Linked DNA regions of Nothobranchius furzeri. The protein of the gene in region 2 purifies or fractionates together with the protein of the main gene of each other region. This does not show direct contact. Links are inferred from orthologs where the notes say so. Each region holds a gene or a part of one and is shown on either strand. Other genes may lie near its edges.

What was found.
Region 1: the proteins of stx5a (region 2) and sec22bb purify together in Homo sapiens (co-immunoprecipitation; 4 studies listed by BioGRID and IntAct, counting the BioPlex papers as one, with this or other methods). This does not show direct contact. The link is inferred for Nothobranchius furzeri from reciprocal best matches to the Homo sapiens genes STX5 and SEC22B.
Region 3: the proteins of stx5a (region 2) and ykt6 purify together in Homo sapiens (affinity purification with mass spectrometry; 3 studies listed by BioGRID and IntAct, with this or other methods). This does not show direct contact. The link is inferred for Nothobranchius furzeri from reciprocal best matches to the Homo sapiens genes STX5 and YKT6.
Region 4: the proteins of stx5a (region 2) and bet1 purify together in Homo sapiens (affinity purification with mass spectrometry; 3 studies listed by BioGRID and IntAct, with this or other methods). This does not show direct contact. The link is inferred for Nothobranchius furzeri from reciprocal best matches to the Homo sapiens genes STX5 and BET1.

What each region holds. Positions count from the first base shown.
Region 1 is NC_091748.1:52,857,525-52,862,436, forward strand, and holds the start of sec22bb (vesicle-trafficking protein SEC22b-B), read right to left. Parts: upstream 3,213-4,912; 5' UTR 3,077-3,212; coding exon 3,002-3,076; intron 632-3,001; coding exon 522-631; intron 429-521; coding exon 268-428; intron 1-267. UniProt on the Homo sapiens protein: SNARE involved in targeting and fusion of ER-derived transport vesicles with the Golgi complex as well as Golgi-derived retrograde transport vesicles with the ER.
Region 2 is NC_091741.1:87,969,426-87,974,605, reverse strand, and holds the start of stx5a (syntaxin-5a), read right to left. Parts: upstream 3,263-5,180; 5' UTR 3,144-3,262; intron 2,763-3,143; 5' UTR 2,605-2,762; coding exon 2,542-2,604; intron 2,196-2,541; coding exon 2,125-2,195; intron 1-2,124. UniProt on the Homo sapiens protein: Mediates endoplasmic reticulum to Golgi transport.
Region 3 is NC_091757.1:56,085,597-56,088,673, forward strand, and holds the end of ykt6 (synaptobrevin homolog YKT6), read right to left. Parts: intron 2,759-3,077; coding exon 2,657-2,758; intron 2,567-2,656; coding exon 2,531-2,566; 3' UTR 1,056-2,530; downstream 1-1,055. Other genes in the region: uncharacterized protein, read right to left, coding at 140-179, 570-617. UniProt on the Homo sapiens protein: Vesicular soluble NSF attachment protein receptor (v-SNARE) mediating vesicle docking and fusion to a specific acceptor cellular compartment. Functions in endoplasmic reticulum to Golgi transport; as part of a SNARE complex composed of GOSR1, GOSR2 and STX5.
Region 4 is NC_091751.1:27,117,684-27,121,801, reverse strand, and holds bet1 (BET1 homolog), read right to left. Parts: upstream 2,500-4,118; 5' UTR 2,362-2,499; coding exon 2,343-2,361; intron 2,166-2,342; coding exon 2,059-2,165; intron 1,975-2,058; coding exon 1,918-1,974; intron 1,689-1,917; coding exon 1,533-1,688; 3' UTR 1,015-1,532; downstream 1-1,014. Other genes in the region: zgc:85777 (probable acyl-CoA dehydrogenase 6), read left to right, coding at 258-408, 677-767. UniProt on the Homo sapiens protein: Required for vesicular transport from the ER to the Golgi complex. Functions as a SNARE involved in the docking process of ER-derived vesicles with the cis-Golgi membrane.

The DNA.
Region 1 (4,912 bases), on a different chromosome or scaffold from region 2:
TAAAAAAAATAGAAATGATTAAAGCAGCTACATAAGTAAATGTGAACTAGGGCACTCCTGCATTAAAGGTCACATCTGTGCACAGCTGGACTGGCTCTAAAAACAAAGAACACAGTTAAGATTTTTTTTGTGCAACACAAAATGCTATTTTTTACAAGTCTGCTGTTCCTGCTTTTGTGAAAATGTTCTGTATCTTAAATACTTCGATGCATTTGAAAAAACACCAGTACAGTTTACAGGACAAACAGTCTTTTTTTTTTTTTTTACCAAATTCGATGAAGGAGTATGGACGTGAGACCGTGGGAACTTTCTTTCCATGCTGCTCATGGAACTCTGCCTGCAGATCCTCCAGGTAAGCAAAGGCGTGCTTCTTGGAGAAGCCGGCGTCACACAGCACGAGGTAGCAAACGCCTTTCTCTATAAAGTAACTATATCAAGAAAGAAAAGTGTAGTTCAACAAAAGGGCTTAATGAACAACATGCGTTCAGAACCCGTAGAGAAGATTGTTTTTTAACACTCACTGAAACGTGACGGGCCCGGCCTCTAAAGTGCAGCGTGTGGGACTCTGCTCGTTGAGTTTTCTGAAGAGCTGCTTAGCTTGATTCTGATACTGCTGAAGATCTCGACCCAACTAAATACACCCAAAAAACAACAAACTATTACCAAACAATAACAATTAAATCAAATTAGAAAGAGTTTAAACAGGGCAACAACGTGGCAAGACTAATACACAAGTCAATGTGGTACTTTAAGATCATTTTGACAAGCTTGAGCGTCTGAAACAAGACAGATCAAATAGAAAAGCTCACATTTCACCCTGCTTTTGCTCATTCAGGTTAATTTCTTGCCATTTTAACGTGGCAAAAATGAATTTGTTTGTATAAAACAGACTCCATAAAGCCTCTGCAGTGAGATGCTGATGCTTTATCAAAAGATTGTAAAAACAACAATTCTCACATTACAGTATCACACACACACGTACGCATGCACGCACACACACACACACACACACACACACACACACACACACACACACACACACACACACACACACACACACAACAAACCTTTTCACTTTCCTTTATGAAAGCAACACAGACGAGAGGAGAAAAAGGTTAGACTCCTGTTAACATTAGCGTAGCAACAACTAGTTTTAAACAAGAACATTTATGGGTTTTTTTTGTTCATTTCATGACATGAAGTCATTTAAGACTTCATACCAGCAGCCACACGTCTAATGGGCCATTCCCATCTGTACCGGGTCAGCCCGGGCCGGGTAGCGTAGGTTGTTTACATATCTGGGTGGTCTGGTATTTTTCCGGGCCAACCAAGGCTCATTCTCAGCCCTCTTCTCGAGGGGGTCTGCTTCAGGCCGACCAGGGCCAACACACCCACTGCTGACAGCAAATTCACACCTTCCATTAGAGCAAGCCTCTGATTGGTGGGTAGAATCAGCCCACATGGGTTTAAGACAAGGATGTGTGGAATCAACCGGGCCAGGCTGGGGCCGACTGGGGCTACCCGGCCCGGGCCGACCCGGTACAGATGGGAATGGCCCATAACTGGTCCGCCTTCACTTTGTGAATAATACTGACCTCTGCAGACTGAAACTGGTAAAGATTTTAGAAATATGAGCAATTTTGATGAGAGTAGAATCAATACAAATTATAAATATGGATTCAGAAAGAACAAAAAATTAAAAGTCTGGGCTCTTTCTCTTTCATGTTCCTCTTATTATTCTGTAGCCTTAATTCACTGATGTTAATGAGATGGCAAGACACATCATTCTATGTCAGTCCTGGTCTAGAGGCATTCGTCGGAAGCTTTTAGTGTCTAATTTGAAAAGTAACAGGCTCTTACTGAAGAAAACATAGAAACTATTTTAACCACATTAATAATTTATAGTATGATTCCAACGAGCCAGAACAACTGATCTAGATCAATAGTTTTGGGGTCTTTTTAAAGTTTGGCTTTGGCTACTATTTTCAGTCCTGACCATGACAGGAAAATGCACCAAAAAGTTACAAGGTCATTGAACAAGAAGAAGATAAAACAAGAAGTGTACGGCTTAAAAACAAACAAACACAAAATCTATCAATGATATATAGCATCTAAATGTTATATCTGTAGAGTTTTCTGTTTGCATCTCTTTGGGGTCACATTTATGGTGTAATGATACAATTTTAAACATTAAACTGTAATATTTGGGCCTTTTTAAAATGAGAAAATATAATGTTCTTACGTCAGGCCAAAGAGAAGAAAGCTACGGCTCACCCCTTTGGCTGAGAAGCCTTGAGTCATGGTTCAGAGTAAAGTGGTCCTGGATTCAAAAAGATTTATTATAAAGCAGCCAAACACCCACAGAAAGCCTGAAACATTTTAATTAAATTAAAGTCTGTCTCGTTGGAAGAAATATAAAAGAAATAAGAGATAACTCAAGATTTATGAACAAAAAATTTTAATTTATGAACCTATAATTTTTTTAATGCACGTTTTGTAACTGGTTTGGGATGCCTCCTGGACGCCTCCCTGGAGCTCCCTGGTTGGGATGCTGCCCCCGCGACCCGGACCCGGATAAGCGGAGGAAGACGACGACGACGTTTTGTAACTGAGAAGTGAGAACTATGCAAAACTCTGCTCACAGAGAAGCAGGATAAATGAGTTTAGATTTGAGCTTCCTAAAGGATGTTGAAAATGGTAAAGTCAGGCTCTGGTAGTCAGGTTTAAACTCAAAGCCGACTCTGGTGAATGTTGTTGCTAAAACCTGCCTGGTGAGAACTAGACAGGCCTGCTAAACTAAGCCTTTATTAGAAGATCAAGTCCTTTAAATCCATCCAGCTGTTATTGGTTAAACGTCTCCTAACGCAGGCACGTGCCTAGTTAAATCGTGCTCTGACTAGGACACTATCGTCAGACGTGTCACTAAGACATTAGTAACCCAGATGTGTTATCTCTAGCAGCCCGACGCCAGTCTCCAGAGGCTAAAAGGTTAAATGTGAACCTGCTCGTCCTCCTGCATTGAAGCGGCCAGCGGCAGCCCGTCTGCCAGCCGAGCGATCATCGTCAGCAGCACCATCTCTCCGGAATGTCCTGCTGTTCCTCCACGACCCGAGACAACCTCTCAGCTAGCTGGAGCCGCTGTTTGTTTGACAGGCAGTAAAGTGACAACACAACAGGAGCAACGCGCTGAGCTGGCCGGAAACTCTACAGCTTTGCGTGTAACACTCTAATACCGTCGTGCGCTCGCTGCACGGAACTGATATGCTCAATTATTGTTCCGGGGAAGGTGAAATTCCCAGAACACCTGACTTGAAGCTCAAAAGCTATTTTAAATATATTTTTATTTCAATGAGCCAGATTTTTTTTCTTAAGCTGCATCTTTTTGATATTTTTTGATATTATAAAACAATCTATGAGAAGGGGAAACTTAGAAAATAACTATAGTTAAACCTGGGGATTTTTTTTTTGTTAGCAGTTTATTACAGATACACTTTATTCTGCATTTATGAGAAATAATTATTTGGTAAGTTTGTTGGCCAACAGCAAATGATGAAGGAGGCCCACAGCTCTAATGGGTCCTTTCAGACACTATTGAATATTTTTAGGCCTGACATGTCTTTTTTGAGGCGGGGTTCTCTTTCTACATCTTTGACACTAATTGCACTATCATGGTCCGACATGACTCGGCAGAAAAAGAAGCCAAAAGCTGGAAGGCCACCAGGAATCCTGCAACAGTTGATCAGAAGCACTTAAAACGTTACAAAAAGCATGACTACTTGGAAGTAAATTTTAACTGAGTTAAGAGTGGAAACTTTTGCATTAAATAACTAATCTATCTCCCCCTTAAGCTAGGAAAAGAAACCAGTCATCCCAGAGAAAGTATTACGTGATGGTAAACTTCAATTCATTTCAATTCAAGTTTATTTATGTAGCAGTAAATCATGACAAGAGTAATGTCAAGGCACTTCACACAGTAAACATTCCAATATAGTTCAGTTCCTTAAGTCAATTAGTAAAAAGTTTCCTATATAAGGAACCCAGCAAATTGCATCAAGTCACTGACTAGTGTCAGTGACTTTACAGCAATCCTCATACTAAGCAAGCATTTAGCGACAGTGGAGAAGAAAACTCCCTTTTAACAGGAAGAAACCTCCAGAGGATCCTGGCTCAGTATAAGCAGCCATCCACCACGACTCACTGGGGATCGAGAAGACAGAGCAGACACACACACACACACACACACACACACACACACACACACACACACACACACACACACACACACACACACACACACACACACACACACACACACACACACACACACACACACACACAACATAAATACCAAGTAATGTTTCTATAGTTACATTGTGATTTCTTAGTAAATATTATATTTGGTGAGAGAACTTTATTGTATTTATCCTAGTGGATCTATAATTAAACGGATAAACTAGTAGTAGTACATCCAACATCAAGGAAAGCAAAAAGTTATTATCAGGAGAGGGAGAATGTTTTAGTGGTTAGCAGCAGTGTGCTAGATGATGGCCCCCTCCATGAGGCCACCACAGCTCAGCAGAACATCATTGTAGCTTCTTCTGGGGAGAAAAACACTTGGAGAGAAAATAAAGTTAACAGCTGAAATAGCAGGAAATAATACAGTTAAAGAGCAAACTGTAGAAGAAAGTAGTCGAGTGTGGAAAGTGGTCAGTGTATCCTCCAGCAGTCTAAGCCTATAGCAGCATAACTACAGAGATACCTCTGGATAACCTAGCCTTTTAGATGGAGGCATGTTGGAGGCAGGGCAGGGGAGAGCCACACTTCACCTCCCTCTACTCCTCTACTCCCCCACTTGTCCAGATTCACATGTCCTGCTAATCCGAAAACTAGGAATGTCTAGTTTTCATAACAC
Region 2 (5,180 bases):
GACGCAGCATGAGCCGTTTTCAGCTCTGTCTTGTCAAATGCACCACGTATGTTACGGAAAAGGTAACTTTAAATATTCAACCGAAAAAGAGGCGAGCTGAAGAAAACCTAGGGAGTACTGAAGAAACGTGAGCAACAGTGAAGCAATCACAGAGAGATCCGTTACTGTCTGTGTGTGTGCGTGGATGCCTGGGCCGGACTGAGCTCCCGGCTGCAGAGTTTTGTGTGTAGGGAGGGGCGGACGCTCTATGTGACTGGCCAATCACGGAGCATGAAGACAGTTACCCAATGGGTATTTTCTTTCAGCACGATTACAGATATTTATGAGTTTTACTCGTTTCATGCTCGTATTCATCAAAAATGCTTTATCCGCCCTATCTGTAACCACCCTGCCCTGCCTCCTCCTCCTTGCTGCCTGCCGGCTTTCATCACAAGCAACAACAGAGTAGTTCCCGCTGCTTCTTCGGGAAATGGCACAAAGAAAAAAAAAATCAATTAAACTTGGGATCTTGTAGGCGTGGCGCTGGGATTTCAGCCGTGGCGGGCCGCCACCTATGCCTGTGTAAGGGAAACACTGGGTTCTGCTTCATTAACACGTGTTAGAATAAAACCTCGGGGGGTGGACTACTGGCGGTTGTGAGTGGGGTCCCTTGGGGGTCTTGGCGGAGGCCATGGGTCGCTGCCTGGCAGCTGCATTGCCCCTGAGCAGGTCTGGGTGGGGGCCTGGGGGCTCAGGGTGTGGCCGGCCTGGTGTGGGGATCTGGGCGGGGCCTTGGGGGTCGGGTCCTGACATGTATGCTGCCGGGAAGAAGGCAGGAACATGCGGCAGTGCCTGTCCCGGGTTCAGGGGCCTCAGGTAGACCTCGGCTCCTCTGCTGTTCCATCACAGGGGAGGGGGATGTCCAGGAGGGGGAGGACCCAACCTTACCTCAATGTCCAATGTCTTATATATTCTGGGAGTTGTGCAAATGCAGGGATGTGATGCTGCTCCTTTGGTTCCCTGGCAAGATGGGCTGGGGTCTCCATGTCCTGGGTGACATTTTGGCAACAGAGGTGCCTATCGGGGCCAGTGGGGGAGCTGGCTCCCCCACTATCGGGGCCAGTGGGGGAGCTGGCTCCCTGGAGGGCTTAAGTCCAACCAGCAATTCCTCCCCATCCCCACACATTTTTCTCCTCCTGCTCCCTCACATCATCACACAATCATGCACATAGGACCTTGGAGGGTGGACAAGTCAGGGGGTGCAGGTATGGACCCCATTTCCGCATTCCTGTGGCAACCTGCCCCCCAATTTTACTTGCACCTTACTTCCACCAACGACATTCCACGCAAGCACACACTTAGGGCCTTGGGAGTGAGCACATTCAACGGCATTTGGCAGGGGGATTTTTCAGCCTCATCCCGAGTGCCAGTGACCACTTCCAATTTTAAACAGCACTTAGACACTGAGGGCTGTGGGTGCAAGTGGGGTAGTGTGGTGGCATCAGCTGGCATAGGCCAGACGATGCCCGCACTGGAACTTGGGCACGTTCAACACATGTCTTAAGGCTGTGGTTGGCACTAAATGCACTATAATTTATTATCGTGTGATTGTTCAATAAAACAATGTTGATTTTACATTTCTTCATCAAGTTGAAACAGTGATAGCTTGCTCCTGTTGTATTGTTGTGTGTGTCCCTTTTCTGCAGGTCTAGAAGCAGACTCTTGTTCATCATTGATCGTTTATTTTCGTGGACCCCCCCCCCTCCCCTTTTGTATCTTCCTTTCTCTTTCACCTCTGTCTCCGTGTCCGGTCGAAATTACAAAGCATTCGAAAAACATTAACAATAAAGTTTTAAGTATCAGACATGACATTAAAAGCAGAAGCTTTGATGCTCCACCTGAGAGTAAAATCTGTAAGGCTTGTCTCCAGCATTCAGACATTAATTCTGTTTGCTTCACAGCCAGACAGGACAGGAGAAAAAAAAAAAAGAATAAAAAATAATTTTTATCTCAACCACTCTTGAGAGTTTTAAGACAGGTTAAGAATCATCTGGAACACTCAAAACTAAAGTAGCTGTGGTATCAGTAAAAAGAACATTTGTAACACATGAATAAAACATGTAGGAAAACCTCTAAAGCTCTTACTTGGCCATGAGTGTGAAGTCACTGCGTTGCCTGAGAGACTGAGAAGCAGGTTTACTAGGCTGGACTCCATTCTGACATGTGGGGGGATATGAGGAATAAAATGTTAGATTTAAACCAACAGTATGAAGCCACACAGTGGATAAATAAAAATATATTATTAGATTATTAATTAAACATTTTTGTTGTAACTAATATATTTGTGGAGGTATACAGTATCACCTGACTGATAAAAAAGTGGAACCAAAACCACACACACACACACACACACACACACACACACACACACACACACACACACCAAAAAGCAAAACCAAAAGAATCATTGTTATAAATGCATTCCAATTTACTCACAACATGAAAGCAAGGGTGAATTTAAGGTGTACACCTTAATGGTGGCCGTAGTTCACTCAAACATACCTGTCTGCCTTGTAGAGATTTACAGGCTGACTGAAACTCGAGGGTTCGGTCACGGCACGTCATTCTGACGCAGCTCAGTGTCACCAGCCTGCTGTGGACACCCGAAAAACTCTTCCTAACGTCTGTCTGCCTGATGAATATAAACAAGGAGACCTTCTGATCTGGGGGACAGACTCACATCCAAGGTGGTGTGTCCTTCATCGGCACAAGCACACACATGTCTGCAAAAACAATGAAAGGATCTTTGGTGAACAGCTTAATGAAAAGACTAATCAAAAATACCTATTCGGTACCGTTAGCCCCGACTACGAAAACAATTAAATCGCAGCAACAATGCGGTAAATGACAAAGACCACAATTCACAAACATTCCCACGTGAGAGCAAAATATAAATACCATTAGGTAATAATTATTACCCCCAAAGTCTTCGAGAACCATCACGACGCACAGCTGATCTCGGCCTCACCGGCTAACCACCGGCTAACATCTGCTAAAGAACGCTACAGGCTTTTCATCCGGTTCCGTCACCATTAAAACCGAACTTTATTGCGCTCTAAACTCAAAACATGAAGATTATTCATATTTCAATTCGTTTCACTTACTTGAGTCGGCATCACACCATTTTTATCGAATATACTCGATGTTCTGGTAAGAACTAACCGACCGTTTTAGTTAAAGTTCCGATCCGGGTCATTTCCGGAATTGACGTCACTGCCACGTCTACTTTACTGAGACGTAAATCCCCGTAGGTGCAGATTAGCTCCACCAGGGGGCAATGTTCCCCCTCTTAATGAGAGGAATGTAGCAAATGACTAAACACCAAAGATCAGCACAAATAAAATAATGTTTAATTTTAACAGGGCCCAGCCATTTAAATCTATTCGAATTTTTAAATTTGCAAAGTCACTGCAGATAGGCATGTTGTTTCATATGTGCAAACCCCCAAATAATTCAAAATTGTACCTGACTGATCTGTCAGTGGGAAAACTATTGTGGTAAAAAGCACTCAGTTGCCACATTACAGGTTGCTTGCTCAGCATATTCAACATTAGATCCAGCAGATTTTTACCCTGTTTATGTTTGAAGTAAATTACTTATCTGTCAGCTTTGAGTTGTGTGTCATGTAATAGATTTCAACCAGGTTTGGGTCTGACTTTACTTGGGTAATAATTCAACATATTAAAATACAGTTTTGTAGTTTGACCTTGGCTGAAGTTCCCAGTGCATTCAAACATGCTGTTGTTCAGCCGATTTTGAAAAAACCTGGTCTTGATCCCACTGATTTCTCTAATCTTCGACCAATTTCCAAATTGCCATTTTTATCAAAGGTACTTGAAAAAGCTGTGCATGAACAGTTAACACATTTACCATCAAGTAATGCACATTTTTCAGTCTGGGTTTAGACAACAGCATAGCACTGAAATTGCTCATGTTCATGTGTTTAATGACATCTTTCTGACTTTGGATTCAGGGTTCCATGTGGTTCTGGTACCTCTTGATCTATCAGCAGCCTTAGATCTAATGAGCGCCTTGAATGGCAGCTCTCGTGGTCTGCCTGTATCTGGTCAGGCTGTACTGCCGAGCCATACTTCTGTGCTTCGGGACGCTGGGGCACTGACAATAAAGATGATTCTGATTGATCATAACATCTTGATCTCCAGACTACACACATGGGCTGGCATCACAGGTTTGGCTCTTGACTGGTTTAGTTCTTACTTTTCTAACAGGACCCTCAGGGTCAGGCTGGACGACTACTCATCCCAGTTGGTCTACGGTCCCTGAAGGGGTTCCTCAAGGTTCCATTCTCGGCCCATTACTGTTCTCCCTCTACATTCTGCCTTTAGGAGCCATTCTCAAACAGCATGCTGTTTCATACATGCAGACAATTGCCAAATCTATGTTTTGCTTAAACCCACTGACTCCACTAAACCTCTGTATGACTGTGTTCATCTGAATGACTCTAAAACAGAAGTAATTGTTTTTAGTCCCGATAATGTTAGAGCGACTCAGCCACCTGACCACTCTCATCCTCCTAATGTAACTTCTACTGTTTCCAACCTCGGAGTAAAAATGGACCCGGTTCTGAAGATGGAGGCTCAGGTCAATAGCACAGTGAAGTCCTGCTTCTACCACCTCAACAAATTTCTAAATTAAAGCCCATCCTGAGTGCCCGTCTTCTAAATCGGTGATTCATGCCTTCATTACATCTTGGCTAGATTATTCCAACTCCTGCCTTTATGGCACCAGTAAAGCTACTCTGGCCAGAATTCAGCAGCAAGGTTCCTGGCTGGAGTTGATAGAAGACAGCATATTACACCCGTTCTCTCCATTGGTTGCCCTCCTCAGCTCCTCCTCACCGTCCCTAAGGCACGTTTGAAGACCCGCAGGAAAGGGCTTTTTCTTTCTATGCCCCAAAACCTTGGAACTCACGATCTCTCCAGGTCAGGCAAGTGCCCTCTATCACCATTTTTAAATCACGCCTGAAAACACACTACTTCTCCCTGGCCTTCAGCTCCTAAACCATGAAGCACTAACTCATACTTTGTCATCCTTCTTTCCACCTTGGTTGCTCAATTTTAAATCTGTGGATTGGTATTTTGTGGTTTCACCTTGTTTCATTGATTTTACTTCGTTGTTCT
Region 3 (3,077 bases), on a different chromosome or scaffold from region 2:
TAAAGCCTTTTTATTTGCTGCAGGTCTGTGAACCACAAGATGTTAAATCATTAAGACCCACAGAGATAGTTTGCACTTTCCACCCTGATGAGCCTGAATTGATTTCTAAGAATCACAAAGAACAAATGATGTAGCTCACCATTGCTCTGTTGGTGCACAAGCTGCTCTCCGAGAACCACCTGAAAAGTAAAAAACATCACTCCTCATTAAGGATGTCAGTTTGAAACCAGTCACTTCTATCAACTAGAATATTAAACCAAAGATAAATCCTGAGATAAGACGGAGTTTGGGCTTAATCAAGTCGGGCTGCAAATGGAAACTTGTTGCAGGAAGTCCACAGCAGGAAAATCAGCGTCGCGACCGTGGAAAAGATAAGACAAGCATGCAAAGAATACAAATACTATGCTAGACACGTATTTATTAAATGTTTAGTTCAGTTTTAACCGTGAAATTTTAAATAACTTCAGTGACGTCATGTTTAGGTTTTAAAGGTGAATTAACGCGGATTCCCCAAAGATTCGCGCTTCTTTTGGCAGAAAATCCTTTGTTAGTGTCCTTTAGCTCCTCACCTGTGAGTTGGAACTTTCATTAACGACAACAAAGCTCCTGTTTTCCATCCTCGATCACATATTTCCCGCGTCGGAAACTCCGAACTGTCCTTCTCACTTTCAGCTGCACGCTCACGCTGCCCTCTGTGCTGCGTTCAAGAGCTCCTTCAAAACTCGGATTTTCCACAAACACAGATGTTTATCGCTGATTGCACCGGACTGGATCAAATTATTCAGCTAATCTGTTTTCCTAATGAAAAGAACGGATGTGTTTAATTATCTTGCATTATTAGTAACTTATGTTGTCCCGTTTATTTTAAAAGTTGTTTTCAGTTTTTCCTTCTTGGAAAGCGCATCGAACTATGCATGAAATGTGTTATATTCAAATTAAAGCTATCTTATTATTTTTAAATTAAAATAAAAGCTTTATTAGCTTCATCTCAGAAAGCCAACAGCTCACTATAACTGACTTTTGCACACGAATAAAAAAAATGAAACCATACATCAGACATTTATGCTTTTTATCTAAGCAAGAGTAGTGTTTTTACAGAAAGTAAGTTACAGGTTTTATTTTCAAAAAATATGTGCTGCACATGGAGCTGCAACAAGCAACAGTCGAGATCTGATAATACAGTTGGAAGTTTTCAAAAGACAAAAAAGTGAAAATCAACCCTGGACAAGCTTGGAGTTGGTCAAAAGAAAAAGCATGCAAGGTTTGTAACTTATGAAAATTTATATATATGTATGTATATATATATATATATATATATATATATATATATATATATATTCCTCTTCATGTTAAAGAAACAGTCTGCAGACGTTGCACCAAAGTTTACACAACAGAAAGCAGAGACTGCACAATCTTCTCAGCATTAACACAGCGTGCAGCTGGAGGTTGGAAGAGTATCAGCGATATATACACACACACACACACACACACGTCAGAGAAACATCGAAAACACACAACCAAAGGCACGGACTCTTGAAATGACGTTTTCTCCAGTCGTGTAAAGAAAATGAAGAATGGCAGCTGTAGGGCGACTGTAAAAGCCAGATGTGCTATTACTGAGTACTTCCTGTCCCATTTTTAATTATCATACCCATTCAAGATGACTAGAGTGCAGAAAATGAAACGAGCACCTAGACCTCCCAGAATGACCTCCGTTTTTAAGGGTGAAGTGCTTCTTGGATTTAGAGGTACAAGAACAAAATCCAGGACAGCAGCTTTAAGTGAGTTCTTATCAGAAGTTTCAGGAACTCTTTGCAAACGAGGACAAACAAAACTGGGAGTTTCCAAACATTTTACAGCTAATTGTCCACATTATCAGCTTATCACAGACTCATCCAAACAGGAATGTTGAAGACTTCATCTAACATCATTAAATAGACCGAAAAAGAAAACAAAGCAGTTGTGTAAGTAAATGCAGAGCAGCTCAATGTTAATTAAAATATGTAAAAGTCTGATGTCAAACATCCAAGTTGTTTAGAAGACCGCGTTAAACACCGAGGCTTCATTAGAGCGGTGATGTAAATAAACAGAGCCCCCTAGTGGGCAAACGGGGTAAGGAGAAAACCAGTTTCCAAAAGTTCAACGGCGACGTCACCAGATTGTCAGTTATCATGAAGCAGAAAGCACAAGTGTGGTTAATACTCGCTCAGTGTTTTAAGAGATCAAGCGATTAGCTTTTGATTCGATCTGAATAACATCAAAGGGGTTTAAAAGGTGTCGATGACATCACCAGCACATAACGTCACGCTATAATGTCCTCAGTTGGTAAGAAACAGCACACAGACGTTCACTCCTTCCCCCGACCAAACCCCATCACTCCTGCAGCCCCCATCAGTCACCCCGCTGAAACTGGCCACCCCGTTCTGCTCTCATCCCGGCGCTCCGTCCCGGTGGAGAGCCGGTGCATGATGGGGGTTGTAGGAAAAGCAGAAAGGCAGAGAGTTGTCCCCACGAGGACGAGGCAGCAGCATCACATGATTTCACAGCACGAGTTCTGTTTCCGTGCCTGAAGGGTCGACAGAAAAACCAGAGTTTTAAAACAGAAGCAGACGAGGTCAGAGTTGGACGTGAAACGAGACGAGCCGACGGGACTTACGGTCTTGTAGAAGGCTTTGGACTGATTTCCCAGGTGCTCTGACTTCGCAACCAGGTCATCCAGTTTCTCTCCTCTTTCCAACAGACTTTCCATGGTGTTGTGCTGCAGAGAGTTTATACGTGAAACAGTGCAGAGATTAGGATTCAGAATTATCCAGAGAAAACCGCTAAAGCCTACTTCTTAAAGCCACAGGCTCTGGATGTTGACGTCTGACAGGATGTGAAACACACCACCTAGAGATCAACCCTCTGGGCTCCAGGGTGTAATTTGCCGTTTTTGACTAATTTAGAGTTTTCTTTTGTATTTCCAAAATAAAAGCCATAAGCACTGCCTTATGTGGTATCAATCTTTTCAGCACAACCTGGACTTTATGGATTTATACTTATTTTTTATATTTGGACATAAAGGGGTTGCATATTAG
Region 4 (4,118 bases), on a different chromosome or scaffold from region 2:
AATGTTCTGCAGCACCTGTGAGGCAGGTGTTCTGTGATCATCCTTCTCTTCTTATCCCAGTGGTCCGCAGGTTTGAGTTCGTTAATCTGACTGGTACCAGTCTGGGACCAGATTCCCACAGATAAGAGCATTTTTTAGGCACGGATAGAAAAACCCGTTCACACAAACACTGATGTGAGATCCTGCATCTCTTTCATGTCCCTCCATCTTTCTCTTGTTTTCTTCAACCTTTGTTTCTTCTCCTGATTTTTCGGCAGCGATGTACATTAAAGGGAACGATGTCACCAAGCTAGCATCCATGGCCAAACTGAAGGCTGGGCGCCTGGCGAGAGAGCTGAGCGACAGCTGTCTGCAGTTCTGGGGAGGGATGGGCTACACCAGCGATGTGCTGGTCAGCAGGTTCTACAGGTGGGACTGAAACGACCGTCAAGAGCTACAGTCACTTATTATTTAAGCTTCTAGATCAAAACATCTTTTTATACTATAGAATCAAAATTAGTCTGACTAAAAAGCCAGTGTTTCTAAACGAATGAGTAAACATAATTGAACATCTTATTTTCCCCTGTAACCATGACTCAGCACAATCAACTTTGTACTAATCACTATGACAACGATCCAGCTGCTGCCTGCAGCTTGTTTAAGTGTGACATAAATAAAAGGCTTTTCTTCTCTGCAGGGACTCCAGGTTAATATCGATCGGTGCAGGTGCTGACGAGGTGATGCTGGGGATCATCTGCAAATACATGGATACTCTTCCCAAGAAGTAACGCCCACCAGCTGCTCCTGTTATGTCATAATCATCATTAAAAGCATACTGATCATTTAAAAGAAAAAAAGCCTAATGAAGTGCAATTCAGCCATGTGTGAACTTAGAATTTTGATTTTGATCATGTTTGCTATTCAGATGAATCTAAGCATTTTTTGTTAGTTTTGTTCAGTAGTTAATAATCCATTTTAGAAAAATAACCATATTTTTTTAGAAAATAAAACAAATTATGTGAATGAAGCAATCACTGTTTGTGTGGCTGGTTTTATTTAAAGACTACATATCATAAAACAAATCTGTCCTGGACTATTTATAACATAAAAGGTCTTCATTTACATAAGTGTTTACCACAAAGTTGAAACTGAAATGTTTCCTGCTGTTAACAAGATCTACTTATCATTGGGCAATGCCTTAATTTTAATTCAACCATATATTGAGCTTCATCTGTACGTTCCCCTACAGCATGGTGATCTGTCACAGGTTAAATCTGCTTAATCTTACTAAAGGTGGTTATAGGGAACGCACAAATACAGACATTGCTTCATGGTTACGAATCACCTCTGCCTTTTTGATCATTTGGATTTAGTTTTTTAGTCCCGGCGCTCCAACCCAGACAGACCCAAATGCTCTGATGCAGCACATGAAGCCACGTCTCGTTTACAAAATCCCTGGCTTACATAATCACAGTTACTGTGTTGGCCTAGTTTCAAGATCCAACAGACTGGGAATGTGGGTCACAAGGTCCAAGTCCAAAAGGGTACGTCTATCACCTCAGGATCATAAGCCAGTACACGACGAAGAAGACAAAAAAACAGAAGAGAAGCATGTAGCACAGCAGTTTGGTCTGACTGCCTCTGGAGAGCTGCTTCACTCTACCGATGGTGGCTCCCAGCAGTCCCCCCGTCGAGTCAAAGTCTGTGTCCTTAAAAGGGAAAGGGATTGGGAAAAAATCACAAATCCAGCAGGTTAAAAGCACAGAAACAGTAAGATGGGTGAAGATGGCCCAACTGATTTAATCAACCATTTAAGATAGGAAATTAGCCCTAACCTAGTTTCAATGAGTCATGCATAATACTCCAGAGGAAAACACCACAGCTGTCATGAAATATGTTCATAATAAACAAAGTCATTTTCTGAACGTCTAAACTCACCATTTCATCAAGCATTTTATTCTGGCATTTCACTTCTGTTCCAATGTCGATGGTCAGCTGTGAGCAAAAAGTACCAGATTATTACTAATAAATATTAATAAACAACAATTTAATAGTTTTAATGCAGCAGTTATCATTTACACTTTTCAGGGCGCTGACTTTAGCTCTCAGCCCCTCCTGAAGGTGCTCGTTCTCCTCCTCATACACACTATAACCACTGGCTGCATAATGACCAGGGCCGCCTTCACCTGGGAGAAAAGAAAAAAAAAAACTTAACATTTATTTTTACCGTTGCTGTCCCGTTAGGTTAGTAGAAATGTTTATCGGAGGAAACTAGCTTGTTAACGTCAGACAACATTAGCTAGCACTTGCTAGCAAATTAGCCCGTCATAAACCTAAAAACCGTAAGTGTAACAGGTTCTTACCGAGTCCGGCGCGCCTCATCTTTACCTACAGAACCAAAAACTGTCCGGTATGTTGATGAAAACGTTAGAGAAAACGAACGAGGCTGAACAAACCGGAAAGTGAGCAGAAGAAAATTCCACGTCATCATACGGTGGCCGACGAGGAACAATCGTCACCGGTCAACGGCGTTATGAGGACACTGCAACTCAAAGGACCTTATACCGTCTCTCTCCTGTAAAATAAACTTTGTATAAAGCCACTAAAATATTCGACATTTGTAAGGAAGAGAAAGTTATTCTTAAAGTGTCATCTGTACCACTGCTTTTGTTACACTGTGACATTCTCACTGAACCTCACTGACATCTGCACTGTTTATAAACTGACTCCACAATTATCGACTTCCGTATTATTGAGGTTCTTTGTAAAATGTTTTTTCCTATTTTTACTTCACCCTGTGTCTTACTGATTTTTAGCTGTTATTTTTGGGAATTTTGTTATATTTCCTTTTTATCTTTTATCTGTGTTCGACATGTTTATATAACGCCTGTTTAATTAACCAACATTTTTAGTGTACAGCGCCTTGTCTGGTTGTAATGCCTTGTGAATGCGCTTTATAAATAAAATTGGATTGGATTGGATTGGATTCTATTTCCTCTGCTTTTTAATTACGCCAGAAGAAAAGAGCAATAAGCTTGTATTCAAGAGTAACTGAGGAGTAAGGAGGCAAAACACGGAGGCAAAAGGAGAGCTAATAAATGAAAATAAAACAAGATGATATTGGAAACTAAAATGGTTGTTTGAGAAGTTTAATGAGAAATTAAAATCAATAGTACAACATGATAGTATAACAAAGAAACATGTGCAGGTTTACAAGCAAACACACAACTTACACAATGCTAAGAATGGGTGCAGGCAGAAGCATACGCTTATAAGCCCAGCCCCCCAAACCCTTTGAACTTAAACAAAATTTTAGAATAGCATACCTTCGTCTTCGTCTTCCTCCGCTTATCCGGGTCCGGGTCGCGGGGGCAGCATCCCAATTAGGGAGCTCCAGGCCGTCCTCTCCCCGGCCTTGTCCACCAGCTCCTCCGGCAAGACCCCAAGGCGTTCCCGAACCAGATTGGAGATGTAACCTCTCCAACGTGTCCTGGGTCGACCCGGGGGCCTTCTGCCGGCAGGACATGCCCGAAACACCTCCCCGGGGAGGCGTCCAGGAGGCATCCTGACCAGATGCCCAAACCACCTCAACTGGCTCCTTTCGATCCGGAGGAGCAGCGGTTCTACTCCGAGTCCCTCCCGAATGTCCGAGCTCCTCACCCTATCTCTAAGGCTGAGCCCGGCCACCCTACGGAGGAAACTCATTTCGGCCGCTTGTATCCGCGATCTCGTTCTTTCGGTCATTACCCAAAGCTCATGACCATAGGTGAGGATTGGGACGTAGATCGACCGGTAAATCGAGAGCCTGGCTTTCTGGCTCAGCTCCCTCTTCCCCACGACAGATCGGCTCAGCGTCCGCATCACTGCAGACGCCGAACCAATCCGCCTGTCGATCTCCCGATCCCTCCTACCCTCACTCGTGAACAAGACCCCGAGATACTTAAACTCCTCCACTTGAGGTAGGACCTCTCCCCCGACCCGGAGGTGGCAAGCCACCCTTTTCCGGTCGAGAACCATGGTCTCAGATTTGGAGGTGCTGATCCTCATCCCAGCCGCTTCACATTCGGCCGCGAACCTACCCAGCAAGAGCTGAAGGTCAGAGCTGGATGAAGCTAGGAGGACCACATCATCCGCAAAAA